Linked DNA regions of Ovis aries. The protein of the gene in region 3 binds, or shares a complex with, the protein of the main gene of each other region. Links are inferred from orthologs where the notes say so. Each region holds a gene or a part of one and is shown on either strand. Other genes may lie near its edges.

The links.
Region 1: CRNKL1 (region 3) and ARMC7 share a complex: the UniProt entries of both Homo sapiens proteins name them as parts of the minor spliceosome. The link is inferred for Ovis aries from reciprocal best matches to the Homo sapiens genes CRNKL1 and ARMC7.
Region 2: CRNKL1 (region 3) and SNIP1 share a complex: the UniProt entries of both Homo sapiens proteins name them as parts of the minor spliceosome. The link is inferred for Ovis aries from reciprocal best matches to the Homo sapiens genes CRNKL1 and SNIP1.
Region 4: CRNKL1 (region 3) and SNRNP40 share a complex: the UniProt entries of both Homo sapiens proteins name them as parts of the minor spliceosome. The link is inferred for Ovis aries from reciprocal best matches to the Homo sapiens genes CRNKL1 and SNRNP40.
Region 5: CRNKL1 (region 3) and SNW1 share a complex: the UniProt entries of both Homo sapiens proteins name them as parts of the minor spliceosome. The link is inferred for Ovis aries from reciprocal best matches to the Homo sapiens genes CRNKL1 and SNW1.
Region 6: CRNKL1 (region 3) and GPKOW share a complex: the UniProt entries of both Homo sapiens proteins name them as parts of the minor spliceosome. The link is inferred for Ovis aries from reciprocal best matches to the Homo sapiens genes CRNKL1 and GPKOW.
Region 7: CRNKL1 (region 3) and RBM48 share a complex: the UniProt entries of both Homo sapiens proteins name them as parts of the minor spliceosome. The link is inferred for Ovis aries from reciprocal best matches to the Homo sapiens genes CRNKL1 and RBM48.

Annotation. Positions count from the first base shown.
Region 1 is NC_056064.1:55,673,406-55,677,920, reverse strand, and holds the start of ARMC7 (armadillo repeat-containing protein 7), read left to right. Parts: upstream 1-1,694; 5' UTR 1,695-1,951; coding exon 1,952-2,042; intron 2,043-2,139; coding exon 2,140-2,283; coding exon of another isoform or gene 2,284-2,296; intron 2,297-4,515. UniProt on the Homo sapiens protein: As a component of the minor spliceosome, involved in the splicing of U12-type introns in pre-mRNAs.
Region 2 is NC_056054.1:12,368,216-12,372,116, reverse strand, and holds part of SNIP1 (smad nuclear-interacting protein 1), read left to right. Parts: intron 1-413; coding exon 414-516; intron 517-3,901. UniProt on the Homo sapiens protein: Required for pre-mRNA splicing as component of the spliceosome. As a component of the minor spliceosome, involved in the splicing of U12-type introns in pre-mRNAs. Down-regulates NF-kappa-B signaling by competing with RELA for CREBBP/EP300 binding.
Region 3 is NC_056066.1:39,182,026-39,186,489, forward strand, and holds the start of CRNKL1 (crooked neck-like protein 1), read right to left. Parts: upstream 2,951-4,464; 5' UTR 2,850-2,950; coding exon 2,799-2,849; intron 1-2,798. UniProt on the Homo sapiens protein: Involved in pre-mRNA splicing process. As a component of the minor spliceosome, involved in the splicing of U12-type introns in pre-mRNAs.
Region 4 is NC_056055.1:236,093,712-236,098,361, forward strand, and holds the start of SNRNP40 (U5 small nuclear ribonucleoprotein 40 kDa protein), read left to right. Parts: upstream 1-1,695; 5' UTR 1,696-1,725; coding exon 1,726-1,869; intron 1,870-4,650. UniProt on the Homo sapiens protein: Required for pre-mRNA splicing as component of the activated spliceosome. Component of the U5 small nuclear ribonucleoprotein (snRNP) complex and the U4/U6-U5 tri-snRNP complex, building blocks of the spliceosome.
Region 5 is NC_056060.1:87,002,831-87,006,483, reverse strand, and holds the end of SNW1 (SNW domain-containing protein 1), read left to right. Parts: intron 1-434; coding exon 435-552; intron 553-2,125; coding exon 2,126-2,734; 3' UTR 2,735-3,049; downstream 3,050-3,653. Other genes in the region: SLIRP (SRA stem-loop-interacting RNA-binding protein, mitochondrial), read right to left, coding at 3,093-3,164. UniProt on the Homo sapiens protein: Involved in pre-mRNA splicing as component of the spliceosome. As a component of the minor spliceosome, involved in the splicing of U12-type introns in pre-mRNAs.
Region 6 is NC_056080.1:56,005,680-56,009,580, forward strand, and holds part of GPKOW (G-patch domain and KOW motifs-containing protein), read left to right. Parts: intron 1-974; coding exon 975-1,084; intron 1,085-1,889; coding exon 1,890-2,103; intron 2,104-2,504; coding exon 2,505-2,634; intron 2,635-3,176; coding exon 3,177-3,303; intron 3,304-3,505; coding exon 3,506-3,629; intron 3,630-3,717; coding exon 3,718-3,787; intron 3,788-3,901. UniProt on the Homo sapiens protein: RNA-binding protein involved in pre-mRNA splicing. As a component of the minor spliceosome, involved in the splicing of U12-type introns in pre-mRNAs.
Region 7 is NC_056057.1:10,622,489-10,627,184, forward strand, and holds the start of RBM48 (RNA-binding protein 48), read left to right. Parts: upstream 1-1,512; 5' UTR 1,513-1,524; coding exon 1,525-1,635; intron 1,636-2,161; coding exon 2,162-2,352; intron 2,353-2,358; exon of another isoform or gene 2,359-3,056; coding exon of another isoform or gene 3,057-3,130; intron 3,131-3,831; coding exon 3,832-3,977; intron 3,978-4,696. Other genes in the region: peroxisomal ATPase PEX1, read right to left, coding at 1,040-1,165. UniProt on the Homo sapiens protein: As a component of the minor spliceosome, involved in the splicing of U12-type introns in pre-mRNAs.

The DNA.
Region 1 (4,515 bases), on a different chromosome or scaffold from region 3:
TCTTTTCAAGGAAAAAAGATATTAGTAAACATTTAGGATAGAGAACTTTGACCTCCTCTGCCTGCCCTCCCCCACTCCCTACCCTGGGCAAGAGTGGCAATCATTTCTGGGCAGAATTCCTTCAACAAATATTGAGCTACTGTGTGTCACGAACTGGGCAGAGAGGAGTAAGACCTGGTCACAAAACCAAGGACTTAAAGAATTCTTTGCAGAGGTGAGGGCCTCGGAAGCCTTAATTCAGTTCAGTTCAGGCACTCAGTCGTGTCCAACTCTGCGACTCCATGGACTGCAGCACACCAGGTTTCCCTGGCCATCTCCCAGCTCTCTGGAGCTTGCCCTAACTCATGTCCATTGAGTAGGTAATGCCATCCAACCATCTCATCCTCTGTCATCCCCTTCTCCTGCGTTCAATCTTTCTCAGCATCAGGGGCTTTTCCAAAGCCTTAGGAGGGGGCAAGTAATGGAGGATGTGATGGCCCATCAGATTCCAGAATCCACACTTGGCTGATCCTGGGATTCCTCTAGAGAGGGTCCAGAGCAGTTCCTGACCAGTGTGGGGTAGAGCCCACTTCTGTCCTGTCCCTAGATCTTTACTGCTCCATCCAGACAGGAGCAGAGAAGCCCCCTGGCCACATTGGGCTGAGATAGACTTCCCCAGGTCGAATCAGCTCTCCTTAAAATGTGAAGGTTCTGGTGAGGGGCCTGGGGACACTACCCTGCAAGAAGCAGCCAGGGTCCCCAAGCCCCAGGTGTGTGCATAGGGCTGGGGCTGATCACAGCCACCTGAGCCCACCAGGTGGGGGCTGCTCCCAGTGGGGCTGTGGCAAGCTGGAGTGTGGCAGTCACTGTCCTTGCGCAAGGCCCTTGCCCTCCAGAAATTCACAGCCTAAGCCGCTTCCACCCCCACATTTTGAAACACGCTGGAGTCCAAGAGGGCCACCTTCCTCCCTGGTGCTCTGTCACCTGACCCCTTCCTGAGAAACTGAGAAAGGACTAGATAGGAGGGCTTCAGCATTCTGGGCTCCCCACAACCCAGAAAGCCACCAAAGTAGTATTTCTGGGGTCCGATGGTGCTGCCCCGGGTGCGCCCCGCCACCTGGCAGGCTCAGCTCGGGACTGGGGAGCAGAGGATACCAGGCGCGCTGACTTGTTTTCATCTTGGCCTCGCCTCGGGCATACAGGGTCACAGTTCCCCCACCAGGGATCCAAGCGTGTCCCCTCCACTGGGAGCAGAGTCTTAAGCACCGAACCACCAGGGAAGTCCTCACTGGGCTTTTGGGAAGAGCCGACCAGAAGGTAGTGTCAGAAGAGCCACAGAGGGGACACAAGGAGCAGGCGCTCGCGTTTCCACGGCGTCCCTGGATGGTGGAGGGGCGGGGACTGCGGCCCATCGCCAAGCGCGGGTGCATCTGAAGGTGCTTCTACCCCGACAGTCCCCCACACAGGCGACCCCCGGCACCTCTGAGCTCCTACGGGCCCTTGGGGCTCGCCTCAACACAACCGCAGGCTTCAGTCACCACTTCCATCAAGAGGCGGATCGCCGCCTGCGAGAGACAAAACGCTGGAAGCGGGCCCACGCTCAGCGACGGCCCCGCCCATCGCCCCTCGCCTCGTCGCCCCGCCCCTTTGGCCCTTTGGGCGTGGCCAAGTGCCGCTTCCCCCGGAAGTCCGGAACCAAGCCGAACGTCCCGCCCAGCTGGGACGGGCCTTCCTCACGCGGCGCGAGAGTGGGTCCTTGTCTCCTGGTCCCCGACTTAGGTGTTCAGTCCCAACTCCTACGAGGTTCTGAGTCCCCACCGCGTCTCCCACAGCCCAGTCTCAGCTGCAAGCTGCTGGAGAATTCGTTTCCCCTCCCCGGCCCCGCGAAGCCAGGTGGGGTCCTAGCCCCGCGCCCCAGCCTCAACCTTCCACACTCTCCCGCCCGCTCCCCGGGGCCCCTCGCCGCCCGCCCATGGCCCAGAAGCCGAAGGTAGACCCCCACGTCGGTCGGCTGGGGTATCTGCAGGCGCTGGTCACGGAATTCCAGGAGACGCAGAGCCAAGGTGAGTGTCTCGGGGTGGGGGGCAGGGGGGGCTGGGCCGGGGTCCAGCCGCGACCACCGCCCCGACCCTGGCGCCACTGCCCGCTTCTCCATCGCAGACGCCAAGGAGCAAGTGTTGGCCAACCTCGCCAACTTCGCCTATGACCCCGGTAACTACCAGTATCTGCGGCAGCTGCAGGTCTTGGATTTATTCCTCGATTCGCTGTCGGAGGAGAATGAGACCCTGGTGGAGTTTGCTATTGGTAAGGATGGGGCGCTCTCCTAGGTGCCTGATGAGGTAACGAGTTAGAAATGAGTTGTTGGGAAAGGGCTCTTCGGCCGTCTCTCAGCAGCGAAGGCAGACTTTCGTAGTGTCTGTAATGCCTCCGCGGCCAACACAGCGTACAGGTTCACGGGTGGCTTGAGTCTGGCCTGGAACCCACGCCCAGGACCATTTCTACCTGTCTACCTTCCCTGTCGGTTAGAGGTAAGATCATAAATGGGAATGGATTGAAGCCCCTTGGAGGGGCGGGGTGGGGGCGGGGGAGTTGAGCGCTCTTTTAAAACCTCTTTATCTTATATGTTTCACCATCAAGAGAAATAGCGTTCACTCGGAAGGGCTTATGGCACCTGTAGTTGTTCTGGTCTCAGACCTATTGATTTATTCACACGTCAGGTGTTTGTTGGGCTGGTACCCTGTGAGCAAAGTATTGTTCTAAATGCTGGTGAGATGGCCAACAAGTTGGGAAAAGATCTTTGCCCTCAGGGAATTTACATTCTAGTAGAGAGAGACACAAGGTTTACACACAAAAGAAGCTGAGGCACTGAAGAAAACAGGCTGATGAAGAAGAGCAAGGGAAGGAAGGGACTACTTCTGGTTTGGCCCTGGCGGGAAGGCACAGGCCGGGCCAAGACCCCAGAGCAGGAGGAGCCAGAAGGAAGGCTGATGTGGCACCATTGTGGTGAGTGAAGCCCAGAGTGGTACTAAATGAGAGAGAAGGATTTAGTGCTGCTAAATTAGAGAGCACCTCGCACCAGTTTACAGGGATTCAGATCTAGGCATTGGGTGGGAGTTTGGAGTTTATTCTGAGGGCAAACCAACATTCCTGGAACTTCCCTAGTGGTCCAACAACTAGGACTTTGCTTTTCCACTGTAGGGGCGATGGGTTCCATCCCTGGTTAGGGAACTGCTGCTGTTGCTAAGTTATTTCAGTCGTGTCTGACTCTGTGCAACCCCATAGACGGCAGCCCACCAGGCTCCGCCGTCTCTGGGATTCTCCAGGCAAGAACACTGGAGTGGGTTGCCAGTTCCTTCTCCAGTGCATGAAAGTGAAAAGGGAAAGTGAAGTCGCTCAGTCGTGTCTGACTCTTAGCAACCCCATGGACTGCAGCCTACCAGGCTCCTCCGTCCATGGGATTTTTCAGGTAAGAGTACTAGAGTGGGTTGCCATTGCCTTCTCTGGTTAGGGAACTGAGATCCTGCAAAAAGCAAACAAAACCAACATTCTTTCTGCAGCATGTGTCTTTAAAAAATAACATTTCTCTGCATAGTGAAAGGAGTCTTATCTTCATAGGGAATGAACTTAATAATTCCATTGTCACCAAATACCCAGTTAGGCAGACTTCTCTAATAGTTCCCAAGCGGACATTTTTTGTTGTTCTGTATAAACCAGGATCCATGCTCTTAATCTGGTTGTTATGTACGTTAGATCTCAATCTCTCGCTCTCTTTTGAAAGAAACTTTGTATTTTATAACAGTAGAAAAATTGCGAAGGTAATACAGAGTTTCTATGTATACACACCGAGTTTCCTTATTATTACCATCTTACATTAGTATGGTACACTTGTTACAATTAATAAGCCAATAGCAATAGTCCTGTCTAACTCTTTGCAACCGCATGGGCTGTAGCCTGCCAGACTCCTCTGTCCATGGGATTTCCCAGACGAGAATATTGGAGTGGGTTGCCATTTCCTTCTCCAGGGGATCTTCCTGACCCAGGGATAGAACCTGCGTCTCCTACACTGGCAGACAGATTCTTTACCACTGAGCCACCTGGGTACCCCTGTTATTAACTGAAGTCCATGCTTTGTTCTGATTTCGTCACTTTTTCCCTCATAACCTTTTACTGTCTCAGGATTCCATCCAAGATCTTATGTTAGATTTAGGCTCCTTTGGGCTTTGCTGGTTTTAGACTTTTTCTTTTTGTGAATGACCTTGGCAGTTTTAAGGAGTACTGGTCAGGTATTTTGTAGGTTTTCCTTCAGTTGGGATTTGCCTGACATTTTTCTCGTTATTAGACTGGGATATGGGTATTGGGGAGGATGACCACAGAGGTAAATGGTAAAAGGCCATGACATATCTCCTCCAACTGAAGCTATTTTGGGAGGTAGAGGGGGGTGCTTCCCACGTGGGATCTTAGTTCCCTGACCAAGGATCGAACCTATGCCCCCTGCAGTGGCAGTGTGGAGTGTTAACTGCTGGACCACTAGGGTCT
Region 2 (3,901 bases), on a different chromosome or scaffold from region 3:
AGGAATGACATTGGAGAGCGAGGAGACAGAGCCAGAGACTTTGCTGATAGATCGTGATTGTGTGGGGAAGGAGCATGGAGGGCTGTTGGTCGAGGGGAGAAAAAGAATCAGGGTGACTTCTAGGTTTTTTGCCTGAGGAACAGGGTGGATGGTGGCACTAATTATCCAGCTGGCAGAAAACAGAGGAAAGTGTCTTGGGTGGTTGGGAATCTAGAGTTGCTATCTAAGTGAGAAGTTCTAGTAGGCAGTTACGTATGTGGAAGACATAGGACCAGAAAAGTGAAGCTCCTGATTCTTTTAGTGTGATCAGCAAAGACATGGTGTTTGTGTTAGTTGGATATGCCTGATGCTTGGAGCTGTTTTGTATGAGGGAATGAAAGTTGAGATAAATGTGTGTACCATTTTCTGAACAGGTCCCCAGCCAAAAAGAAAAACAAATCCTCAGGGAGAAGAAGCAAGTCTCCCCGGAGTAAGAGAAGCCGAAGTCCTCACCACTCAGCAATCAAAATAAAGCAGGTAAGTGGACTGAGATGTTTTCGTACTGGCTCCAAACCTAGAGCCTCTCCATCATAGCTAAAGTGGTGTGTGTGTGTTTTCCTGTACCTGCAGTGGGCTTCTCCAAAAACTGGGCTTTTTTTTTTCTTTTTTCTTCTTTCTTTGTTAAACTTTTTATTTTGAGATAATTGTTGATTCACATGCAGTTGTAAAAGGTAATACAAAAGCCACAGTTTGTCCCAATAGTACCATCTTACAGAATTATAGAACAATATCCCAACCAAAATGTTGACATCAGTTCTGTCAAGATACAGAACATTTCCATCACCACAGGATTCCTCAAGTAGTTCTTTTATATCACACCCAGTTCCCGCCTACCCTTACCCCTCCAACTCCTGGCAGCTTCTAGTCACTTCTCCATTTCTGTTATTTTGTTTCCTCAAGAATGCTATGTAAATAGAATCACACAGTATGTAGCCTTTCTGGATTGGCTTTTTCCACTCAGCTAAGTTCTTTTGGAATTCATTTATATTGTTGCTTTTGTCTGTAGTTCCTTCGTTTTTATTGCTGAACTGTAGTCAATGGTATGGATTTAACCATTTGTCCATTAAAGTGTATCTGGGTTGTTAGCAGTTTTTGGCTATTAGACATAAGACTGCTGTGTATACATTTCTGTACAGGTTTTTGTGTGAACATAGGTTTTCGTTTCTCTGGGATAGATGCCCAGGAGTGCAGTTTGTAGATGGTATGGTAGGTGCTTTTTTTTTTTTTTTCCTAAAACATTAATAAATTGTTTTCCAGAGTGCTGTGTTAGTTTGCCAGGTCTTCCATAACAAAATACCACAGACTGGTTGCCTTAAACAACGGAATCTAAGAGGCTAGAAGTCAGAGATCAAAGTTTCAGCGGTTTGGTTTCTCCTGAGGCCTTTCTCCTTGGCTTGCCTTCTTTGTTGGGTCCTCATAGTCTTTCCCTCTGTGCTCGCCCATCTCTGACTCACATCTTCTTTAACCACATCAGCCATATTGGATTAGGGGCTTACTCATTTTAACTCAATCAGTTCTTCAAAGACCTTACCTGCAAAAAATCTGGTTACAGTCTGAGGTGTGGGGGTTGAGACTTCAGTATGTAAATTTGGAAGGGGCGCAATTCAGTCCTTACAGTGGCTATCCCTTTTTATAATGTGAGTGATCCAGCATTTGGTATTGTGACCATTTTGACCATTCTGATAAGTGATAGTGATACTGTGATTTTAATTTGCATGTCCCTGGTGGCTAATGACGTTGGGCATCTTTTCATGTGTTTATTTGCCATCTGTGTTTCCTCTTAGGTAAAATGTCTCTTCAGATCTTGTGCCTATTTTCTAGTTGGATTGTTTTGGGTTTTTTTACTACTGATTTTTAAGAGGTTTTTTTTTTTTTGGTAATATATTCTTAGATACCAGGCCTTTTTGGAGTGAGAGGTTTTCCAGTATTTTCTTTCCGTCTGTATCTTGTCTGTTCATTTTCTTAAAAGAGTTTTCCTCAGAGCAAAAGTTTTTGATTTGTTTGGAGTCCAGCTTGTCTGTTTTTCCTTTTACAGATTATGCTTTTGGTGTTATGTCTAAGAACTTCCCTGACCCTAGAACCTGAAGATACGTTTTTCTTTAATATTCATTTAAGTCCATGATCTGTTTTGAGTTTGTTTTAATCTAAGGAAGGAGCCTTAAATCAAATTTCCTTTTTCGCCCCGTGGATATCCATTTACTCCAGCACTAGGTGTGGAAAGACAATTTTTCCTCCCTTTAATTGCTTTTGCTTTGTCAGAAATCAAAAGTGTGTGTGTGTGCCTTTATTTCTGGGTCCTCTGTTCTGTGCCATTGATCTGTCATTCTGCCAGTACCACAGTCTTGATTACTGGAGCTATATAATAAGTCTTAAAATTGAACAGACTGGTTCTTTCACTTTCTTCGTTTTAAAAATTGCTGGGACTTCCCTGGTAGGCCAGTGGTTAAGACTCTGAGGCATAGGTTTGGTCCCTGGCTGGGCGGAACTAAGGAGGCACATGCCACAGGACATGGCCAAATAAATAAATAATTGTTTTAGGAATTCTCGTGCCTTTATCTTTCCACATACATTTTAGAACAATCTTGTTTGTATCTATTGAAAAAACTTGCTAGTATTTTGATTGAAATTGTGTTAAACTTGTACTTTTTGAAAAATTTTAAAAAATTATGTAGCGTCTTCCAGTCTTTGAATATAGGTGTATCTCTGTTTATTTAGATCTTTGATTTCTTTTATCAGTGTTTCAGTGTACAAGTCCTGTATGTGTTTTGCTAGATTTGCACTTAAGTAATTTTTTTAAGTTATCATTAAATGATGGCTCTAGTCCATGGGGTCGCTAAGAGTCGGACACAACTGAGCAACTTCACTTTCACTTTCATGCATTGGAGAAGGCAATGGCAACCCACTCCAGTGTTCTTGCCTGGAGAATCCCAGGGACGAGGGAGCCTGGTGGGCTGCCATCTATGGGGTTGCACAGAGTCAGACACGACTGAAGTGACTTAGCAGCAGCAGCAAGTGATATTTTGAATTTCAGTATTTACTTGTTCATGGCTAGTACATAGAAATATGATCCATTTTTGTATGTTTATCTTACACCCTGTGGCCTTACTGAACTCATTTATTTGGCCTAAGTAAATCCCAACCTAAAACTTGGGATTTTCTGCATAGATAGTCACGTCTGCACAGGGGCAGTTCTGTCTGTCTTCCTTTCCAGTGCATGTTCATTTTATTGCCCCTTGCTGCATGGCTGGGACTCTCGCACTGAGTGGAGCAAGAGCAGTCAGATCAGGCTCTCCTGCCCTGTCCTCATTCCTGAGGGACAGGCGTTCAGTCATCGTCTTGTGCTCTTTCCTCCAAGTTTTATTTAATTTTTGACAGTGCTGGGTCTTTGTTGCTGTTGTGGACTGGAGAATCCCAGGGACGCGGGAGCCTGGCGGGCTGCCGTCTGTGGGGTCGCGCAGAGTCGGACACAACTGAAGCGGCTCAGCAGCAGCAGCAGTGGACTTTCTCTAGATGCAGTGAGCAGAGGCGACACTCTTGTTGTGGTATGCAGGCTTAGTTTCCCTTGTGGCGTGTGGAATCTTCCCGGACCAGGGATCAAACCCGTGTTCCCTACATTGGCAGGCAGACTCTTAACCACTGGACCACCAAGGAAGTCCTCAGTCCTCTGTTTAAAGAGCCTCTGGGTTACAACGTGCAAATAGAGACACTGGCATTAAGGAAATGGATTTTCCTATGAATTTGAGCCAACTTCTGCTACCTAAAAAGATTCAAAGCCAGTCCTGATGATCTTTTGTATGAGTTGGTCAGCCATCACCTTCATTATCTCAGAATTCAGCCACTGGAACCACAATGCCCAGATCAA
Region 3 (4,464 bases):
TCCAACAACACAAGACAAGAATCTACACATGGACATCACCAGATGGTCAACACCGAAATCAGATTGATTATATTCTTTGCAGCCAAAGATGGAGAAGCTCTATACAGTCAACAAAAACAAGACCAGGAGCTGACTGTGGCTCAGATCATGAACTCCTTATTGCCAAATTTGGACTCAAATTGAAGAAAGTAGGGAAAACCGCTAGACCATTCAGGTATGACCTAAATCAAATCTCTTATGATTATACAGTGGAAGTGAGAAATAGATTTAAAGGACTAGATCTGATACATAGAGTGCCTGATGAACTATGGAATGAAGTTCGTGACAGGAGACAGGGATCAAGACCATCCCCATGGAAAAGAAATGCAAAAAAACAAAATGGCTGTCTGGGGAGGCCTTACAAATAGCTGTGAAAAGAAAGAGAGGCGAAAAGCAAAGGAGAAAAGGAAAGATATAAGCATCTGAATGCAGAGTTCCAGAGAATAGCAAGAAGAGATAAGAAAGCCTTCTTCAGCGATCAATGCAAAGAAATAGAGGAAAAGAACAGAATGGGAAAGACTAGAGATCTCTTCAAGAAAATTAGAGATACCAAGGGAACATTTCATGCAAAGATGGGCTCGATAAAGGACAGAAATGGTATGGACCTAACAGAAGCAGAAGATATTAAGAAGAGGTGGCAACAATACACAGAAGAACTGTACAAAAAAGATCTTCATGACCCAGATAATCACGATGATGTGATCACTCACCTAGAGCCAGAAATTCTGGAATGTGAAGTCAAAGTGGGCCTTAGAAAGCATCGCTACGCACAAAGCTAGTGGAGGTGATGGAATTCCAGTTGAGCTGTTTCAAATCCTGAAAAATGATGCTGTGAAAGTGCTGCACTCAATATGCCAGCAAATTTGGAAAACTCAGCAGTGGCCACAGGACTGGAAAAGGTCAGTTTTCATTCCAGTCCCAAAGAAAGACAATGCCAAAGACTGCTCAAACTACCGCACAATTGCACTCATCTCACACGCTAGCAAAGTAATGCTCAAAATTCTCCAAGCCAGGCTTCAGCAATACATGAACTGTGAACTTTCTGATGTTCAAGCTGTTTTTAGAAAAGGCAGAGGAACCAGAGATCAAATTGCCAACATCCGCTGGATCATCAAAAAAGCAAGAGAGTTCCAGAAAAACATCTATTTCTGCTTTATTGACTATGCCAAAGCCTTTGACTGTGTGGATCACAATAAACTGTGGAAAATCCTGAAAGAGATGGGAATACAGACCACCTGACCTGCCTCTTGAGAAATCTGTATGCAGGTCAGGAAGCAGCAGTTAGAACTGGACATGGAACAACAGACTGGTTCCAAATAGGAAAAGGAGTACGTCAAGGCTGTATATTGTTACCCTGCTTATTTAACGTATATGCAGAGTACATCATGAGAAATGCTGGGCTGGAAGAAACACAAGCTGGAATCAAGATTGCTGGGAGAAATATCAATAACCTCAGATATGCAGATGACACCAACCTTATGGCAGAAAGTGAAGAGGAACTAAAAAGCCTCTTGATGAAAGTGAAAGTGGAAAGGAAAAAGTTGGCCTAAAGCTCAACATTCAGAAAACGAAGTTCATGGCATCTGGTCCCATCACTTCATGGGAAATAGATGGGAAACAGTGGAAACAGTGTCAGACTTTATTTTGGGGGGCTCCAAAATCACTGCAGATGGTGACTGCAGCCATGAAATTAAAAGACGCTTACTCCTTGGAAGAAAAGTTATGACCAATCTAGATAGCATATTCAAAAGCAGAGACATTCTTTGCCGACTAAGGTCCATTAGTCAAGGCTATGGTTTTTCCTGTGGTCATGTATGGATGTGAGAGTTGGACTGTGAAGAATTGATGCTTTTGAACTGTGGTGTTGGAGAAGATTCCTGAGAGTCCCTTGGACTGCAAGAAGATCCAGCCAGTCCATTCTGAAGGAGATCAGCCCTGGGATTTCTTTGGAAGGAATGATGCTCAAGCTGAAACTGCAGTACTTTGGCCACCTCATGCGAAGAGTTGACTTATTGGAAAAGACTCTGATGCTGGGAGGGATTGGGGGCAGGAGGAGAAGGGGACGACAGAGGATGAGATGTCTGGATGGCATCACGGACTCGATGGACGTGAGTCTGAGTGAACTCCGGGAGTTGGTGATGGACAGGGAGGCCTGGCGTGCTGCGATTCATGGGGTCGCAAAGAGTCGGACACAACTGAGTGACTGAACTGAACTGAACTGAACTTTAGTATTAACCGCCGACGGAAAAAGTGAGATCAACCAAAATACAGCCCTTGTCATCTCTTTTCACTCCTTCCACTCTCACCCGGGGTTGACTCCTATTACAGCCTTCAGCACAGCTTAATCATCACTTCTTGCGCTGGAGACCCCTCACACGAGCCCAGGAAGCCACGGCCTATTCCTCTGGGGCTCAGGAGCCTTTGCAAGGCTGCAGTTCTACCCTTACGCAGGGTAGCTCGTAGCCCGCTCTACCCGGAGCCCCAGCGACTAGCGAGTGTCTGTTTCAGCGTGTCTGTGCTGAAGAACCTCTCTCCTCCCCCAGATAAACACTTTTTAACACGACGACCACGCGGACGCGGAGGTGACCCCCATCCCCGGCTGGCCCTCCCCGCCCGCGGCCCCCGCTCAGGTAGGGAGGACCAGCTCCCGGGACCACACGCCTCCCGCCCCAGGGACCACACGCCTCCCGCCCCAGGCACCACCAAGGCCGGGCCAACCCCATCCCCGGCCTCCTCCCACAAGGCCCCGAGCCGCTCACCTTGGCCACTTTGGGGATCCTTTGCTTCCCGGCAGCGGTGGAAGCCGCCATGGCTGCAGCGGCGACCGCGGGCGAGCCCGGGACCACAGAACCTTCCCCGAGGGCTCGCCCACACCGCGCAACTTTCCGACAACAAGCGGGATCCCGGAACCGGAAGCGGAACTGGCTGGGGCGACCTTTGACCTCTTTCCCGCGCCGTGACGGAGTCAACGTCGTTTCTGTGGTAACCGGGCTGCGCGTCCTCTTCGGAGCCTGGGACTCGGGAGTTGCAGGTGAGGTGAGGAGTGCTGGCTGCATCCGGGCCGTCAGGGGCACATCCTCAGATCGCCTCTGGGATTAGGATGACCGTGCGAGGACGGGTGGATCCGTGAAATCGCGGTATCCCGCAAGGGGACAGGAACCCGGCTACCGTGCGGACGCTCGAGGGCGGGGGTGGGGTAGAAAACTACCTCCTGGCATACCTAGCGGCAAGCTGCTGACCTCCTCGGCCGCCCTGAGCTGGGGTGCATTCTGGGCTTTGTAGGCCCGAATGGTCAACTGCCCCTTGGTTTCCGGACAGTTGTGACCAAATAATTCTATGGCTTATAAATGAAAGTGACTGAAGGAATTTTAAAGCCAGATAACAGAAAAAAGTGAAAATAAATCATCGGAGTACTAGCAAATAACCCAGCCTTATAATGTCAGATAAGCAATGTAATATATCAATCTTAAATAATATCAGATAAACAGATATTTAAAATTTTCTGTCATTGTGTCTTAATGTCAATTTTCGTAGCGCCAGTTCGCTTAACTTTTGTTGTTATTGAGTCGCGAATTCAGGTCCCACTCTTTGCGACCTCATGGACTGTAGCACACCAGGCTTCTCTATCCTCCACTATCTCCTGTAATTTGCTGAAATTTATGTCCGTTGAGTCAGTGATTGCATCTAACCATCTCACCCTCTACCACCTCCTTTTCCTTTTGCCTTCAGTCTTTCCCAGCATCAGGTCTTTTCCACTGACTTGGCTCTCTGAATATAGTGGCCAAAGTATTGGAGCTTCAGCTTCATTCCTTCCAATGAACACTCAGGGTTGATTTCCTTTAGGACTGACTGGTTTGATCTCCATGCAGTTCAAGTGACTCTCAAGAGGCTTGTCCAGCACCACAACTAGAAAGTATAAATTCTATGGTGATCAGCCTTCCTTATGGTCCAGCTCTCAAATCTGTGCATGACTATGGAGAAAACCATAGCTCTGACCATACAGACATTTGTGGCAAAGTGATATCTCTGCTTTTTAATATATTGTCTAGGTTTGTCATAGCTTTCCTTTCAAGGAGCAAGAATCTTTTAATTTCATGGCTGCAGTTATCATCCTGCAGTGATTTTGGAGCCCGAGGGGAAAAAATATCTGTCACTGCTTCCATGTTTTCCCCTTCTATTTGCCACGAAGTGATGGGACTGGATGCCATGTTTTTTTAATGTTGAGATTCAAGCCAGCTTTTTCACTCTCCTCTTTCATCCTCATCAAGAGGCTCTTTAGTTCATCTTCACTTTCTGCCATTAGAGTGGTATCATTTGTGTATATGAGGGTACTGATATTTCTCCTGGCAATCTTAATTTCAGCTTCTGATTCATTCAGCCCAGAATTTCACATGATATGCTCTGCATAGAAGTTAAATAAGCAGA
Region 4 (4,650 bases), on a different chromosome or scaffold from region 3:
GGATACCTTTCACCCTCCTCCTCTCACTTCTAAATTCAATTCTCATCTTAGGTGCAAAGGAGTCCAGGAAATCTCTGGCTCTCAGTTCCACCAATATCCCAGCCTTCACTGCCAGCAACTCTCAACAAAGTGCTCTATCTGCATCTACTTCCCCTCCAGTATATTCACACTACTAAACCTGAGGCATCAAGCTGCCTTCCCCACGACACCACTCCCTACACCCAGCAAAACACACACACACACACACACACACACACACACACACACACACACACACACACACACACACACACACACACACACACACAGAACCCTGTGATTGCCCATTAATCTTAAAGTAAAAGCTACAAAGTCTGGCCTCTACCCGCCTCCAGCTTCATCTTGTACCACACTCCCCTTCATTTTCTGTCCTGGCCACAATGGCCTCTTTGTGCCTTTTACTCATTTTCCTCGCATTTGCCACAGGACTTCTGCACATGCTGTTCTAGATGGAACATTCTGCCTTCCTTGCTTCACCCAACTAATTATAATTCTTCCCTGAGGCTATCAGTTCAGGCATATTTTCCTTACAGAAGCCGTCCTGTTTATTCAGGCACTCATTAACACCAGGTACCTCTCCTAGGTAGCACACACTTCCATACTTCCCATTTCCTAGTGAGATCTGGTGAGCATCTATTTCCCCCCAACCCCAGACTTAAAGCTCTGAAGTCAGGGACCATGTTTGGTTCACAATGTCTGCCCAGTGCTCTGTATTATAAATATTAGTTGGACGACTGAGAAGAAGGCCTAGTTCACAGGTCTGAGTTCGAATTTCTCAACAAAACTGTACTCCGGAGGCCAAGAGTCGGACATTACCTTCATCTCTATCTTTCTGAGGAGGCGCTAGTAAAGGCTGCGGAATCATGGCAGTGACAAGTCCGCCTCTTCAGTCAGAGAGGACCCTGATGGAGGCTAGGAGATGGGCCTTTTCTCCCTGGGATCGCCTGGGCTAGGGCTCTGCACGGAAAACACTGTTGAAGAAGTCAGCCATCGAGGGCCCCAGGCTGAGCAGAGGCTCCCAAAACTCTGCTCCAGGCTAGAAAGGGAACCCAGGCTAGGTGCTAAGTCGCTTCAGTCGTGTCCGACTCTGCGACGCCATGGACTGTAGCCAGCCAGACTCCTCTGTCCGTGGGATTCTCCAGGCAAAAACACTGGAGTGGGTTGCCATGCACTTCCCCAGAGGATCTTCCCCACCCAGGGATCGAACCCGCGTTTCTTAGGCTTGGAACCCAGGCTACTACACACCAGAGCTAGGAACTCGGGGCCCCCTTTGCCCCTTGCAATCAAACCTGCATCTGAGAAGAGCCAGCCTCAGACCACTCCAGATCCCACAGCCACCCGCCCCTCGACCTTCCTTACACTTACTTGTTGTCTGCTTCTGGTCTTTCCCTCGCAGCATTGCGCGAAACACCAAAACCCAGTCAGTGAGCTTCCACCCACAAGACACAGCGCGCCTAGGCGGGACTCCAGCTCTATCCACCAATCCTGAATTCGTACTCTAGTGATGTCAGAAAGAACTGGCCAATAACAGGAAAGTTCTCAGGGGGCGGTGCTGAGAGGTATATTGGAAGTCGATTGGGTTCTATCGGCCGGAAGTTCTACGGGAAAGACTAAGTCCGAGCCAATCGTGAGGTACCTGAGGGGGTCGGCGCGGTCAGTGGCGGCCTGAGGATAGCGGCTGCCGCCATGATAGAACAGCAGAAGCGTAAGGGCCCAGAGTTGCCACTGGTCCCAGTGAAGCGGCAGCGACATGAATTACTGTTGGGAGCGGCAGGGTCGGGCCCTGGAGCCGGGCAGCAGCAGGCGGCGCCGGGAGCTTTGCTGCAAGCGGTGAGTATAAGGAGCAGGCGGCCTTCGGCCCTCAGCTCATCTTCCTCTCTCCTCAGCACCTGGTGATCCTGCGCGGCCCTTAACCCACACTCCCGGCCGGAGCGGGACTCTCTCTCCTAGGAGTTAAAGCAGAAAAACACGGTAAAAGCGGCGTACACCCGGCGATTCTCCCTGCGTTTCTCCATTTGACGCGCGTTTTCAGCGTCTTGACCGCCCTGTGAGGAGGTGTTAGAATTAAGAATTGAGGATCTTGAGCTAAAAACCGAGACCAGGGTTTTGACTTCTTAAATGTTCCAGGGATCCAGTATAGAATAAACGATAAATTTCAGAAAACTTGGAAGATTGGATGGATGAATGAATGAATGAATGAGGGAAGGGGGGAAATGAATGCCGCTGGCTCGTTTTGGGGACTTGGGAAACTTGCTTTTCCCGTTGTTTCTCTGCACTGGTATTAGTAATAACCAAAGAATAGTTACCATCCGTTGAGCCCTTGTGCTGTGTAAATGAAAACTGCATTAATCTCGGTAACTTCCCAAGAGTTAGGAAATATTATTATCCTAATTTGTAGACGGGAAAACAAAGTTATATAGTAAGTGATAGGACTTCCCTCATAGCTCAGCTGGTAAAGAGTCTCCCTGCAATGCAGGAGACCTGGGTTTGATTCCTGGGTCAGAAGATCCGTGGAGAAGGAAATGGCAACCCACTCCAGTATTCTTGCCTGGAGAAACCCATGGACAGAGGAGGCTGGTAGGCTATAGTCAGTGAGGTCGCAAGAGTCAGACATGACTTAGTGACTAAACCACCAGGAACAGCTTTTAAACTCAGAATCCATGCTCTTAACTACATTTCCTGTAAAACTGAGGTAGTGATCACACCTCTGCTTCTATCCTGTTAGGCTCAGCTGACAAAATATATGTCTTCCCGCCCCCCACAACTCCTCAACCAGCTGGTTAGCAAATGTTGACACCACCCTCAAACTATATCCAGACTCACTACCGCTTCTTCCACCTTCCAGCTTCTTTGGTGGCTCAGACAGTAAAGAGTCTGTCTGCAATGGGGGAGACCCAGGTTCAGTCCCTGGGTTGGGAAGATACCCTCGAGAAGGAAATGGCAACCCACTCCTTTTTTCTTGCCTGGGAAATCTCATGGACAGTGGAGCCTGGCGGGCTACAGTTGATGGGGGTCACAAAGAGTTGGACATGACTGAGTGAGTGACTAACACTTTCTACCACTTCCATCACTAGCTCCTGGTTTAAGCCATTAGGGCTTCCCTGTTGGCTCAGAGGTTAAAGCATCTGCCTGCCATGTGGGAGACTTGGGTTTGATCCCTGGGTCGGGAAGATCCCCTAGAGAAGGAAATGGTAACCCACTCCAGTATTCTTGCCTGGAGAATCCCATGGACAGAGAAGCCTGGTAGGCTATAGTCCAGGGGGTCGCAGAGTCGGACACGACTGAGTGACTTCACTTTTCCTTTTTTTTTTTGCGATTTCACTTTCACTTCACTTGTCTCATCTGGCACTATGGCTGTAGGATCCTACTGGAATTCCTGTTTCTGTTTATGGATGCTCAGTCTATTCCCAAACCAGTAGCCAGAGGAATCCTTCTAAACATAAGATCATATTACCCCCCGCTGAAAACTTGCCATGGTTTTTCACGTCAGTCAGAGTAAAACTGAAATCTTGGCAATCTTTTGCCCTCTTTCACTTGATCTCTCTGATCTACCAATTTTCCATTGCTCACCTTTCTCCAGTCACAGTGGCTTCCACGCTCCTGCTACAAAGTCTTTGCATTTGCTGTGCTCTCTACTGAAATACTCTTCTTCCAAGTGTCCACATGGTTTATACACTCAGCTCTTCCCAATCTCTGCTCAGATAACACTTTTCCACTTTCCTGACCAGCCCATTTTAAATTGCCATACCTTGTGCTCATCTACATTGCTGCTCTGTTTTTCTCCATAACACATGCCACCGTCTATATGTTTTACTTGTTTCTGCTCACCCTCCCTCTTTTCTGTCCTTCCCACTAGAACACAAGCTTCATTTTTTATTTTGTTCAGTACTGTTTCCTAAGTGCCTGGGACGGTACCTGACGCAGTATTTCCTGAGTAAATGAGTAAGCTGGAAACTAAGGAGATTTGCAGATTGTTAATAGTGTGCTTCTGTCTGGCAAGAATATCAGCCTGGGTTTCTTTGAATTGCCGCGACTGCAACTGGTCTTAATGTCCAAGACCATTATCAAAACTACTTTCTTCAATAACCTGTACCCTGCAGGGTTGTTGGAAGCATTCGTTCAATCATTCATTCATTAAACGAACTAGAGACTGGGAAACAGTGTCATGTTACACTGGTAAGGTTCCTGCACTACAGAGCCTTTCTCGTGGCAGAGCAGGGGAGACAAACTAAACAAATACATAAGAAACGTAATTTCAGATAGTGATAAGTTCTTTGAGGGAAAAAAGTAGTGTTGATCAAATGCAAAAGAGAGGTAGGGTGCTGCTTGGGCTTGAGTGTTCCAGGAACAACTTTCTGGAGAGAAAGCACTGGAAAGGAACCACACACAGAAAGATCTCGGGGAAGAGGCCTCCAGTCGGGGACAACAAAAGATCCTGAGGCAGAAGTAAGTTTAACGTGTTTGAGCAATTAAAATCTGGCAATGGGAGAGCAAGTGAAGAAAGAGAGTTAGTGTAACATACATTGGAAACTTCAGCAACAGAGTATCAAATTGGAGGCATAAGTTAGAAGAGTTGCTGTTCTCTAAATCAGGAGAAATACACTCCATCAT
Region 5 (3,653 bases), on a different chromosome or scaffold from region 3:
CAAAAACTCATAGATAGAACAGACTGGTGGTTACCAGAGAAGGAGGTTGAGGAATTAGTGAAATGGGTGAAGGAGGTCAATTGTATGGTGATTGACAGTAACTACACTTTGGTGGTGATCACTTTGTGTAGTGTTTAGATGTCAAATTATAATGTTGTAGTCCTGTATTTTCCTCAAGGGAAAAAAGAAATCTCTAGCAGTTCTTTTCTGTATCAGGAATGCCTAATTGTAAAACCCTGTCTCTTCCAATAATCATGTATCTGAAATACTATAAGAAATGGCATCCTAATTGTGCCTTATCAAGGAATATATATGTTCATAAGATGTGAACTGGACATATTTATTTCCTCTGCTTCTGATAATGGTTGTATTGAAGTTGAAATTCATCTTGTCTGTGAAGAAGTTTCAATTTGTGGCATGGTATTTCAAAACAGGTCGAAACTACAGAGAAATGAAAATCGAGACATCAGTGAAGTCATTGCTCTTGGCGTGCCCAACCCTCGGACTTCCAATGAAGTTCAGTATGACCAAAGGCTCTTCAACCAATCCAAGGTACACAGAGTCTAGAAATAGCATATCTTTTTTTGTTTTTTTTTAGAAATAGCATATCTTAAGTGTTGATACAAATGACAATTTTCAGGGAAAAGAAAATTAGCATATGAGACATTTGCATCAGCCTAAGGTATGCTGGTGTGATGGGGAAAAAAAAATCAGAAGTTGCATATTGTAACTTAAGAAACAAGTTAGAATAGCTCTTAGAGTTGGCTAGGATTTGAGACACTGTTAGAAAATGAAAGAAATTAGGTAGTAAAACTTGGTTCTGGTATGTGAGTCTTTTATTTCTAGAATAGAGCCAGTGTCCTATAAAAGTGTCTCTTGGGTTATTTTTTGTCGATATTTGCAAAAATAATTTTTTTATGCTATAAAAACACAAACTTGGGATCTTTGAAAAATGAAGCTATAAAACCAAAGTACTCATCAGAAAGTCTGATTTCTAGTATCAGTTGTCATTAACTAGCTAGAACACCTTAGGCCTGAGGCAGTCCCTTTATGTTTTAATTCACCCAACATTGATGATTTACTGTATGTAAGTCAGTGAGATCAAAGGTAGACATGTCTTAACACTCAAGGAACCTGCAAGTCTACTGGAAAAGACAGATACATGTATATAAATAAAGACAAGGCAGACTGTGCTGAGAATACAGAAGTATAAATGTCTTCTGGGGTATAGAGGGGTCCCATCTCCTCCTGCAAGGCTGGGAGTCACCCTGCGGATTGTTCCAGCAAACATGCTGAGAGCATGGTATCCGAGTCACAGCAGGACAGACTCACGGACCCACCAGGGGGGTGACAGGGTACATACGTCCCCAGCACGACTATAACCACATCAGGAGAACCCAGGTCCTCGCCCCTACTCTGCACCAGCTGAGTCAGGGCCTGGCTTCCCGCTTCTAGGCCATAACCATGGTTCAACAGAGACCATGACCCCTCACACCCCAGGATACCGTTTCGTGAATAACAAAGTCTACCTTCGAAACCAAAAAAAAAAAAAAGTTGAGGAAAAGTTTTATCAAAAGGCACATTCTTATATTAACCATCACAAAACAAGTTTGTTGACTTGAGATTTTCATTGAGAATATTGTGTTACACTTCAGTAGTGTTCTCACACAGTTAAGGAGTTTAACATTACTATAAATGGCATCAGATAAAATGCTTTGCAGTTCTTTCATCTTGCCACTGTGTCTGCACAAATGGATTGTCAAGTGCCTGCTTATACTAGTATCCTCCAGTTTTAAAGACCACTTTGCTAAAACAGTCGTTAATGAGTACCATATTTAATGTAAGGACCCAAAGGTGATATGAAGAAAAAAGAGTAACTGTGACCGTTTTTTTTTTTATTGAAGGATAATTGCTTTACAGACTTTTTTGTCAGACCTCAACATGAATCAGCCATAGCTATACATATATCCCCTCCTGTGACCATTTTTTAATAACCTTTTTAATTTGTAGTTCAGATTGTTGAACATGTAAGCTGTAAATGAGCAAGGGTTTACTCTTCCTAAGAATGTAATCTGATTCAACTTATAATAAAAACTTGCATACTTTAATGTCTATTTTTCCACAGGGTATGGACAGTGGTTTTGGATGTGGGGAAGATGAAATTTACAATGTTTATGATCAAGCTTGGAGAGGTGGAAAAGATATGGCCCAGAATATCTACAGGCCCAGTAAAAATCTGGACAAGGACATGTATGGAGATGACCTAGAAGCCAGAATAAAGACTAACAGGTACCAGGGCAGACCGCTCAGTTTTAACATCTACACCAGTGAAAATAAAGTGGTTCATAGCCATTTCTCTTCTTCCCTAGATTTGTTCCCGATAAGGAGTTTTCTGGTTCAGACCGTAGACAAAGAGGCCGAGAAGGACCAGTTCAGTTTGAGGAGGATCCTTTCGGTTTGGACAAATTTTTGGAAGAAGCCAAGCAACACGGTGGCTCTAAAAGACCCTCAGATAGCAGCCGTCCCAAGGAACATGAGCATGAAGGCAAAAAGAGAAGGAAGGAGTAGATACTTTGTTCAGAGTGAACGAACTGTTGTTGATAACCCTAATGATGCAAGTCATATGGGGAACACTTTGTACATGGCCAGGATAAAAACCAAATCTGGGTGTCAGAGCCCAGCACTACTTTTTATTACAGGAGAGGGAGGGGGGTATGGAAAAATTCTACTTTGAATTATTTAGTTTTTTTAAAAATGGGTTGTGTTTGTGCTTCTCCCACCTTTTGGCATTTATAGAAAATACTGCCCCACACGTGAAATTAAGGCCACTTTCAAGAGACATTAGTACTTTGGGGTTAATATTTTGTCTAAAAATGACTGCTTATGAATAAAGTGACCCCAATCACAGCAAGTAGAAAGAAGGATGTTCACATATTGGAACTGTCCTGCCAAATGATGTTTGCCCCTGTTGTGCTGTTGATTTGGAGCGGGGAAAGTAAGCTCTTGCTTGGTGCAGCTATTTGTTTCAAATAAAAACATTTAGACAAAACTTCCTCTCTTTTATTTACTTTATTCAGTAGGCAGTGAGGGTCTCAAAAATCTTTCTCTTCATCAGATGTTTGGTCTCCTTGCAAAGCTTTGGGTTTTTGAGGTTGAACATGGAGCTGGGGGGGGGGGAAATTCAGCACTGTAAGGAAAGTCAATGTCTGCAAAAACATTAAAACTGAAAACTGCTGTTCTATGAGGGATCAGCACCAGTGAGCCAAAGGATGTTATTTGTTCCTTGTACTTAAGGCTCCCTGAACTCCCATTAAAATTTGTAAATCAGTCTAGCCCAAGGTCACATCAGTTCAGTTCAGTTAAGAAGCTCAGAGTAACTGCAGCATGCCAGGGTTCCCTGTCCATCACCAACTCCCAAAGCTTGCTCAAACTCATGTCCATCCAGTTGGTGATGCCATCCAGCCATCTCATCCTCTGTCATCCCCCTCTCCTCCTGCCTTCAATCTTTCCCAGCACCAGGGTCTTTTCTAATGACTCAGTTCTTCGCATCAGGTGACCAAAGTATTGGAGCTTCAGCTTCAGCATCAGTCCTTCCAATGAATATTCAGGACTGATTTCCTTTAGGATGGACTGGTTGGATCTCCTTGCAGTCC
Region 6 (3,901 bases), on a different chromosome or scaffold from region 3:
TTCTTTCAACTGAACCATTCTCCTCAGTCTTCAGACAACCTCTGGGTTTCTTTCATCTTAAAAAAGACCTTCACTTCACTCTCCATCCTGTTCCAGTTTTGGCCTCCTTTCCCTGATTTTCCCTCCTCTCAGAGCCTTCCACATCTCAGTCCATCACAGATCCATCCATCCTTCCTCTCACTCAGCCTAAAAACCTTAGAGTCATCCTTGAATCCCTTCATTTCATACCCTATATACTGTCAGCAAAATCCCGTCATCTCTCTTTTCCACAACTCCTCTGGTCTGAGCCACCAGCATTTCTCATTTGGACTATTGCAGTAACTTTTTCACTGGTCCCGTTGCAGCTGCGATCCTATCATGGCTTCTAGCCAGCTCTCCTGATTAATCTCTTACCACCCCTCTTTGCCTCCACATCTGTTTCAATCGCATTGGCTTTCACGATGCTCTTCACACACAACAGATCTTGTCCTGCCTTGGGGCCTTTGCTTTTACTGTCCTCTCTGGAGCACTCTTCCTGTATCTTCAGGGTTCCCTCTATCATCTCCTTTGGTCTCTACTCAAATATCAACTTGGTGACACTCCCTTCTCCATCCCTCTGCATCCCCTTAACCTGCTTTATTTTCCTTCATCTGACTTATCCCTACCTGACATATCATGTTTTAGGCATTTCATTTATTCTGTCTCCACAACTAGAATGTAAGCCACACAAGGGCAGGAGTTTCTGTCTGTTTTGTTCACTGCTTTATCCTCAGCACCTGGAACAGTAGCTGGCACAGAATAGATGCTTTATAAATATTTGTCCAAGGACTGAACATGGAGGAATAAAGTGAGGGATGATGAGAGGAAAGAAAAACTCACCCTTGAGCTCACTGGAAAAGAAGCCTCAAGTGTCACTCAGTGGGTGATAGCAAGTACACTTCAGTGGGCCCATGGTAAGCCAAGCCTGACCGTCCTTCCTCTGCCTAAACCCATAGGTGCCGGAGGAGGCTGATTACGAGGCAGTCCCTGTAGAGGCCTACGGGCTGGCCATGCTGCGGGGCATGGGCTGGAAACCTGGCGAGGGCATCGGCCGGACCTTCAGTCAGTGAGTTTCTCGGGTAGGGACAGGGGACAGCAGACCGACCAGGGGACAACTGATGGGCCAGGGAACAGACCCCCCCCCCCATGATTACCGCCCACCCAGAACCATCAAGGCAGGGAGAGGGCACGTTACCACCCTAAGTATTTCAATAGTCCCTTCCACTGCTGTTATAACCTCCTGTTTGCCCTTTGAAACTCCATTAAGAGATCCTATTTATGTAAACATTGCCTCCCTGGGCATCAGCTAACTCATCTGAAAAATGCAGATAATAACAGTACTGACCTCACTGTTTTCAAAGTTAAGTGAAATGGTACACATAAAGCCCTTATAGTAGCCCTTGGCCACAGATAAGCATAGGCTAAACCCTTGATATTGTCATGATCATACAGACCTGTAATCCCTTCTCTACCATTCCAAAGAATTCTGAAAACAAGACTTTTTTTTTCATGAAATACTTGGCAGCCAAATATGACGTGAATTGACAGTGAGCATTTTACAGTCTATTTATCTTGTTTGGTGTGAATAGTTTCCCATGTAGAAATATTGGTATATTTGGCTATTGGGACCTGTCTCAGAATCCACTCTAGATACCATGTCATAGATGGTATACTCAGCATGTTATTCGGTTGAACCAAATGAAATTGCCATTTCTGTAGGTCATAAATAGTCCTAATATGAGATTGGGAAGGATGTTCTTGAACATGTTGATAGGATGGGAGTTTAGTAGTGGTTGGGGATAGTGGTGGGGAACAAGACATTGAAGACTGATGCATCCCCCCAACAAGTCCATATTCTGTGCTCCCTGCAGAGTAGTGAAGCCCTGTGTCAATTCACTGAGGCCCAAGGGGTTAGGACTGGGCGCCAACCTGACCGAGGTCCAGGCCCTGGCCCCTACCAGCCCCTGCCGCCTGCCGAGGCCAGATGAGGAGCAAGAGAAGGATAAGGAAGACAAGCCTAAAGGACTGGTGCCTGGAGGAGCTGTGGTGGTTCTTTCTGGCCCCCACCGAGGCCTCTATGGGAAGGTAAGGAACCTTGATGTGCCTGGAGCCAAAAAACAGGCAGCAGGGAAGATTGACGTGAGGGTCAGAAGGAGGCAGAATTGGGTGTGGAGTATAAAGGCTGGAAGTCCTTGTCTTTTAGGGCTGCCAGACCCACATCTCATTCCGTAACTAAGGACTACTTGCCAGGCCTTTCTGAGCCTCAGTTTTCAACTAAAAGGGAGAGAATGCCTTTTGCCACAAGTCCCTGAGGATTAGATACTTAAAATGTATCCAAGCCTCAGTCTGCTGGGAGAGACGCATATTAGAGATAAGACGCTTATTAGAGATAAGGGTGGACAACTTGGTCCTAGGAACATGGGTCAAGTCCACTCAACCCCTGCCTTATTTCCCCCCCGCCCTACCCCCCCCCACACACACTTTAGGTGGAAGGCCTTGATCCTGACAATGTTCGAGCCATGGTCCGTCTGGCTGTGGGGAGCCGCATGGTGACTGTTAGTGAGTATTGCCTGCGGCCTGTCTCCCAGAAGGAGTTTGACAAGAACTTGAATCTGAGTAAGTGAGCCTGTTACTCATCTGGGGGAGTTGGAGCAGTGTTCCTGGGGGTGAGAGTTAGATCTGTAGAGGGATGGGACATTGGTCTGCATGGCAAGGGTGACTTCTGATCAGAATTAAGAGGTGAGAGTGAACATAGTGGTTTATGCAGTTTGACTGAAGAGAAGTTTCTCTAGTAACCCTGGGTCTTTAGCCTCTTTCTAGGGAGGAAGCAACAGGAATGGAAACCAGTTCCTACCCTTGGAAAGTTTTTGTCTCTCAGGTGGTGGACTGCTCCATTGCTAGGGATGGAGAACAGCTAGGACTAGGGCATGATGGGGAGGAAGGCATTCTAGGCATGGATGGGCCATTTTGGCACATGGGAGGTGGGTTAGACAGCTGAGAGGAGGCAGGCAGTGTTCTAATAGCTAAGGCAAAGGCTGGATGGTGAGCCGGGGTACTCTGGCGGATGAGAGGTGGCCTGAGGCTGAGGTGTGGCCTGGAAGGGAAGCGAGTGAGATACCAAGGCTGTTTCTGGGTTCCCTTCACACCCTATTGAACAGGTCAGGTGAGCAGAACTTCCCCTGGGGAACAGCACAGAACAACCTCATCACGGAAGACCCTCCAGGATCAGGACAGCCACATATGCTGGGAGGACTCAGAGAGGAAGCGGAAACACCATCCAGACCGGTGGGACACTGAGCATCTCAGGTGTAGGGGTAGGGGCAGAACTGTGGGGAGGCTCCAGCAGAGAAGGCTTCCAGGGCAAGGCAGGTGCCTAGAAGGAACTAGGAATGGCATTATGGGTGGGTTTCAAAACATCGGCAAAGGTGGGGTGACTGGAACATGCCCCCCATAAAGAGCTATGCCTGGTGTTGACCCCTCTCCGCAGACAGGATGGGCCTGCAGCCAAGAATGAGAAGGCAGCCCCCCGGAGTCAGCACTGGCTGCACAGGGATCTGCGAGTGCGGTTTGTGGACAAGCTGCACAAGGGCGGCCAGTATTACAACACCAAGGTGGGAACCCTACACCTGGGTCTGCTTCTTCCCCCCGGGAATGGGTCCCCTTAGCTAACATTCTCATATCTGCTGACCCTTTCCCCAGATGACAATTGAAGACGTCCTGAGCCCAGACACCTGTGTGTGTCGGACAGATGAAGGCCAGGTCTTGGAAGGTGAGTCTGAGGGATGGTTGCTGGGTCTTCATCATCCTGGAGGCAGATGAGAAGACTATCTTGGGTCAAGAGCCTGACCCAGGCAGAGGCTGGGAGTTTGGGCAGAATTGGGTT
Region 7 (4,696 bases), on a different chromosome or scaffold from region 3:
GGGATCTTCCCCATCCAGGAATCTAACCGGCATCTCTTACATCCCTTACATTAGCCAGAGGATTCTTTACCACTAGCTGTCACCTGGGAAGCTCCAAGAGACTCTCTATAGTAAAAGCAACAATGGCAGGATCTATTGAAATTAACATGCTTTGAAAGACTGGGGAAAAACAATCTAGAAAAGTAGTTAAAGGCAAGTAGCTAAAATGGAGAGGTGGGATATTTAAAATTATTGCAAACTCCTAAATATTTCCTGCAAGGATTAGCCCGTAGTGGGTACTGTGCATCCAGGATTTTCAAAGATTTCAAGTATTCTTTTTGTCCTCATAGCACACTCAAACTGGTAGACCAGGTGCCCCTATTTTATAATTACGAAACTAGGGATGTGGTTAGAACTATGAACTACCACAATCACAATGTCCAGAGGGCAACTAACTGCAGAGGTCCAAGTATGCATAATCCCACTGCACGTTCCGGGCACACCTAGGAGGTATTCCGAGCAGCGGAGACGCAGCGAGAACCTTCATCTTATTAACCTATCTCGCTCGCGGCTCAGTCTCTATTAATTTACAGGGACTCCTGGGCCACAGCCAGGCAGGCGCACCTGGAAACCACTGGCAGGAAAAACGTTTTTTACGATCGAAACAAAACAAAATCCGCAGACAAACCCGACTTCTCCAAAGCTTTTCCAACCTGGAGTGAGGAATAGCTGAACTCAGAGAGAAAATTATCAGGATGTTTGAGAGCCCAGTTTCACCGAGTGAAGACCTGGAATACGTACGGCAAGTTAACGCAAAGGCCCGGGGCTGCACCCGACGTGGTAGGGCTGCAAAGACCGCCCGGACCGGCCCTGCTCCAGAGCGGCCCACGTTCTGGCTGATGAACAGGTCGGCGGCGCGGGGAGAGCAGCCCGCGTCCCGCCGTCGGGAGACGCCCGAGCGGCCGCTGCGTCCCGAAAAGGCCTGGGTCCCGGGCGGCCGCAGACGGCCCCCGAGGAGTCCCGAGTCCGGGCTGGGGAGTCCATGGGGCGGGCGCGTTACCTGGAGCAAGTGCAGCTGGGCCACTAGGCGCCGCGGCAAGTGAAGGAAGCAGTCGCGCGTGCTGGTGAAGGCCACGGTCACGGCCGCCCCGCCAGCAGCACCCGCCAGCCGACCGCTGCCCCACATCCTCCGCCAGCGACGGCCCCGCCGGAGGCCCACCCCAGCGGACCCGGGCTGCCTGCGGACCGAGGGTGACCGGGCCTGCTACGCTCGATCGGCCCCGCCCCCAGGCCCCGCCCCTCGCGCCCGCCGCGCCTCGGGAGCTGGAGCGGCAGGCCAGCCCAGTCCGGCTCGCCGGGCCTCTCCGCCGCGCCGCTGGAGGGCGGCAGCTCGCTCGCCGCCTACTTGCTCACAGGAAACGATGGCCAACCCTGTGGCTCCTTCAGCCAATCTCGGCGCGCCTTGACCCATCCCTCTCTCTGATTGGGTAATCAGGAGGGCAACAGGCGGATGTTGTCGTCTCTGCGAGGGCCAAAGCCGGCAAGATGGCGTCCAGTGGAGGGCAAGTTGGGGGCGTATTCGATCACCACGTCCAAAGGGCTGTGTGTGACTCGAGAGCCAAGTATCGGGAGGGCCGACGGCCTCGCGCTGTGAAGGTAAAGTGATTTTGGTTTCATTCGTTGTCGTCGGTAGCTTTATGTAAGCTGTAGCTTCACACGCCCAGTTAATGTAAATAAAGTCTTGAAAGGCTGCGGTCACATCCATTTGCTGGAGATGAGTGTGAGGGACGCCGGTACCCAGGTAGCAGATACTCTCGCGGCCTCTTTAGTCAACTGTTGGAGCTCCGTGAAAACGGGGTATGTGTTTTAGTCGTATCTTCCGTGTTTACAGTAGTGAATATTTAACTCTTTCCTGTAACATTTACCGAGGCAGCTTCTGAAGACATGTCGATTGGAGGTAGTCTATTATGTGCTTTAGCTCGAAGCCCTCACATGTAGGGTGACTTATTGTTTCTACAAAGAGAAGGGCAGATTAAAAACAAAAACAAAAACACCTTTTCTGCAGACCTGAACAGAGTAGTTCTTGTTTTCAGGGTTTTTGTTTGTTTGTTTGTTTTGAATAGTAACAGGTTGTCCTAGGCTTGTTTGTGAAACACATTTAATGCGTGTGCATTTCTTTTAGGTCTATACAATCAATTTGGAGTCTTGGTACTTATTAATACAAGGAGTTCCTGCCGTGGGAGCAATGAAGGAATTAGTTGAGCGATTTGCTCTATATGGTGCAATTGAACAGTATAATGCTCTAGATGAATACCCAGCAGAAGACTTTACAGAAGTTTATCTTATTAAATTTCTCAATTTACAAAGCGCAAGGTAATATACAAGTCAGGCAGTGTCTCATTTCCTCTGTTCCCATTGCTATCATTTTGGCCTCCCTCATTCTTTCATGAATTACTCAGTAATCTAACATGGCTTTTTATTTTTCTCCAGTATTCTTAATGTAAGTGTTAGCTTTATCAAAAGTCTGTCCATTAGGTCATCCCCATGTGTAACCATTTTCTGTCTTGTAGTGTGGTAGATTAAAAACTGGGTTTGGACTAAGTTTTCAGGTTCCACTGCTTACTAACATGATGACCTTGGACAAGTTATTTAATCCCATTAAACCTGTTTTCCTGTCCTATAAAATGTGTAAGGATGAAATGAGATAATCCATGTAGAGGGCTTAGCAGATGCCTCCTGCTCAGAATGCGGTAAACAACATTAGCTGTTAGGTTTCTTGTTATGCACCTATATGAATTGACCCCATCTTTTTTTTTTTTTCTTCTGAATAGCATAAATCCTCTGCTGTAGTAAGGGAAATATGAAATGCCTCATCTTATATTCTTGTCACTAATTTGCTTCAAGACCCATCCCTTCCCTGGCTATTACAATTCACATTTTCTGTGCTACAAACAGTACTGGGGTATATGGGTCATATATTGTTCTCCAGTTGCTCTTATGTATAATCTCACTGCCCTAACCAACTTGCCAGCTCCTCATGGTTAGGGAAGTATATTTCCTTATTGTGTATTCATTCCATGAAGCTTTTGCATCTCCCACACCCCTTTTACAGTGTGACATGTGGATTTGAATCCTGGCTCCACAAACCAAGGTGAGCTTGGACAAATAATCTCCCCATGCCTCAGAGTCATCATAGGGATGTTGAGAAGTGTGATTTCAAGTGAAGCATTTAGGCCACTGCCTGGCACATGGTAAAATCTCAGTGAATATTTCTTACCATTTACCTTGGACACAGAAGTACTTAATTTCGTAGTAATTCCTGGCCAGTCATAGATGTTTAGTAAGTATACATTAAATGAATACTATCCTCTCCTTTTCTCATTTACTGTTATATATTTGTGTTTTCTCCATTATTAAATGTTTATAATTGTAATATTTTTATTAATTTCTTATCTTTGAACCCCATTATAGGAACACATTGTGCTAAAAAGGCTAAGCTGGGCATGAGCTAATTTTTGAGGGCCTTTTAACACAGAATCTCTATTTCATGACCACAGATTGTGTACCTCAGGCCAACCAGCTGAATCTTATGTTGGTTAAAGGGAGTCTGGATATGTTTGGAAAACTTAGCTTAAAACCTATGAAGACTCTTGGGAGAGGGGGAAAAAGGCTCTGAAAGAATATGCAGTGGATCAGTAGGGTCAATACCATTCACGTGCAGAGCATCGCAGCTCCGAAGCTATAGGATTTATGTATACAACAAAGTCTGGACTTTGCTTTTTAGATCAATGCATTGTATGCTGGTTAAGCTTTCACCCTAAGTAAACCATGGTATCGTGAATTTCTGCTTAGGATGGCCAAGAGAAAAATGGATGAGCAGAGTTTCTTTGGTGGCTTGCTTCATGTGTGCTATGCTCCAGAATTTGAAACAGTTGAAGAAACCAGAAAGAAATTACAAGAGAGGAATGCTTATGTAGCAAGAATGACTAAAAATAAAGGTATGTAAAGCCTACTACTAAACACCTCCAATGTGTCAGGCATTTTGCTGAGTTTACCCTCCTAGAGTTTTCCCAGTCTAGTGACTATAAGCTACGAAGTTTTTTCTTTACAGAATGTTATGTAATCTTGCCTGGGAAGGGATAGATGTTATTTCATGGAAGATTCCTGCAGGATGAGAATGGTGGCTGAGTTCTGAAGGGAAAGTAGACATTACCCAGAAAGGGAGAGGAACAGATGGAAAGATGGGCCAGAGGAATAAATGAGCGTCATGCATTTTAAGGAACTGTGAGTAATATAACCACAACACAGCAGCTGACATGTGAATCTGAGATAAAGGGGACAGTAAGTGAATCCTGAAAGGCCTGTGTCCATGCTGAGGAATTAAGGCTTTGACCAAAAGGCAGTGAGAAACAACTTCTGATGTGCAGACCAGTTTGCACTGCGAATCTAAAACTGAAAACAGTGGGAAAATTCCCCTTTCATCAACACCAGCTGGCCAGATGCCCCATGTTTCTAATAGAGTTGCCCTGGACACAAATTCCCAGTGCACAGAATGGAGTCACAGAATCTAGTTCATGGATTGTAGAACGAGAGGAGTCAGCACTGGACTATGATAGTGTGTGTGGTCTGAAATCTGAATAATTCTAGCGGCTCAAATTACCAGATTTTCACCCTTTGGTTAAAAAGACAAAGACAGTGTCTAAAAAGCCATTGACTA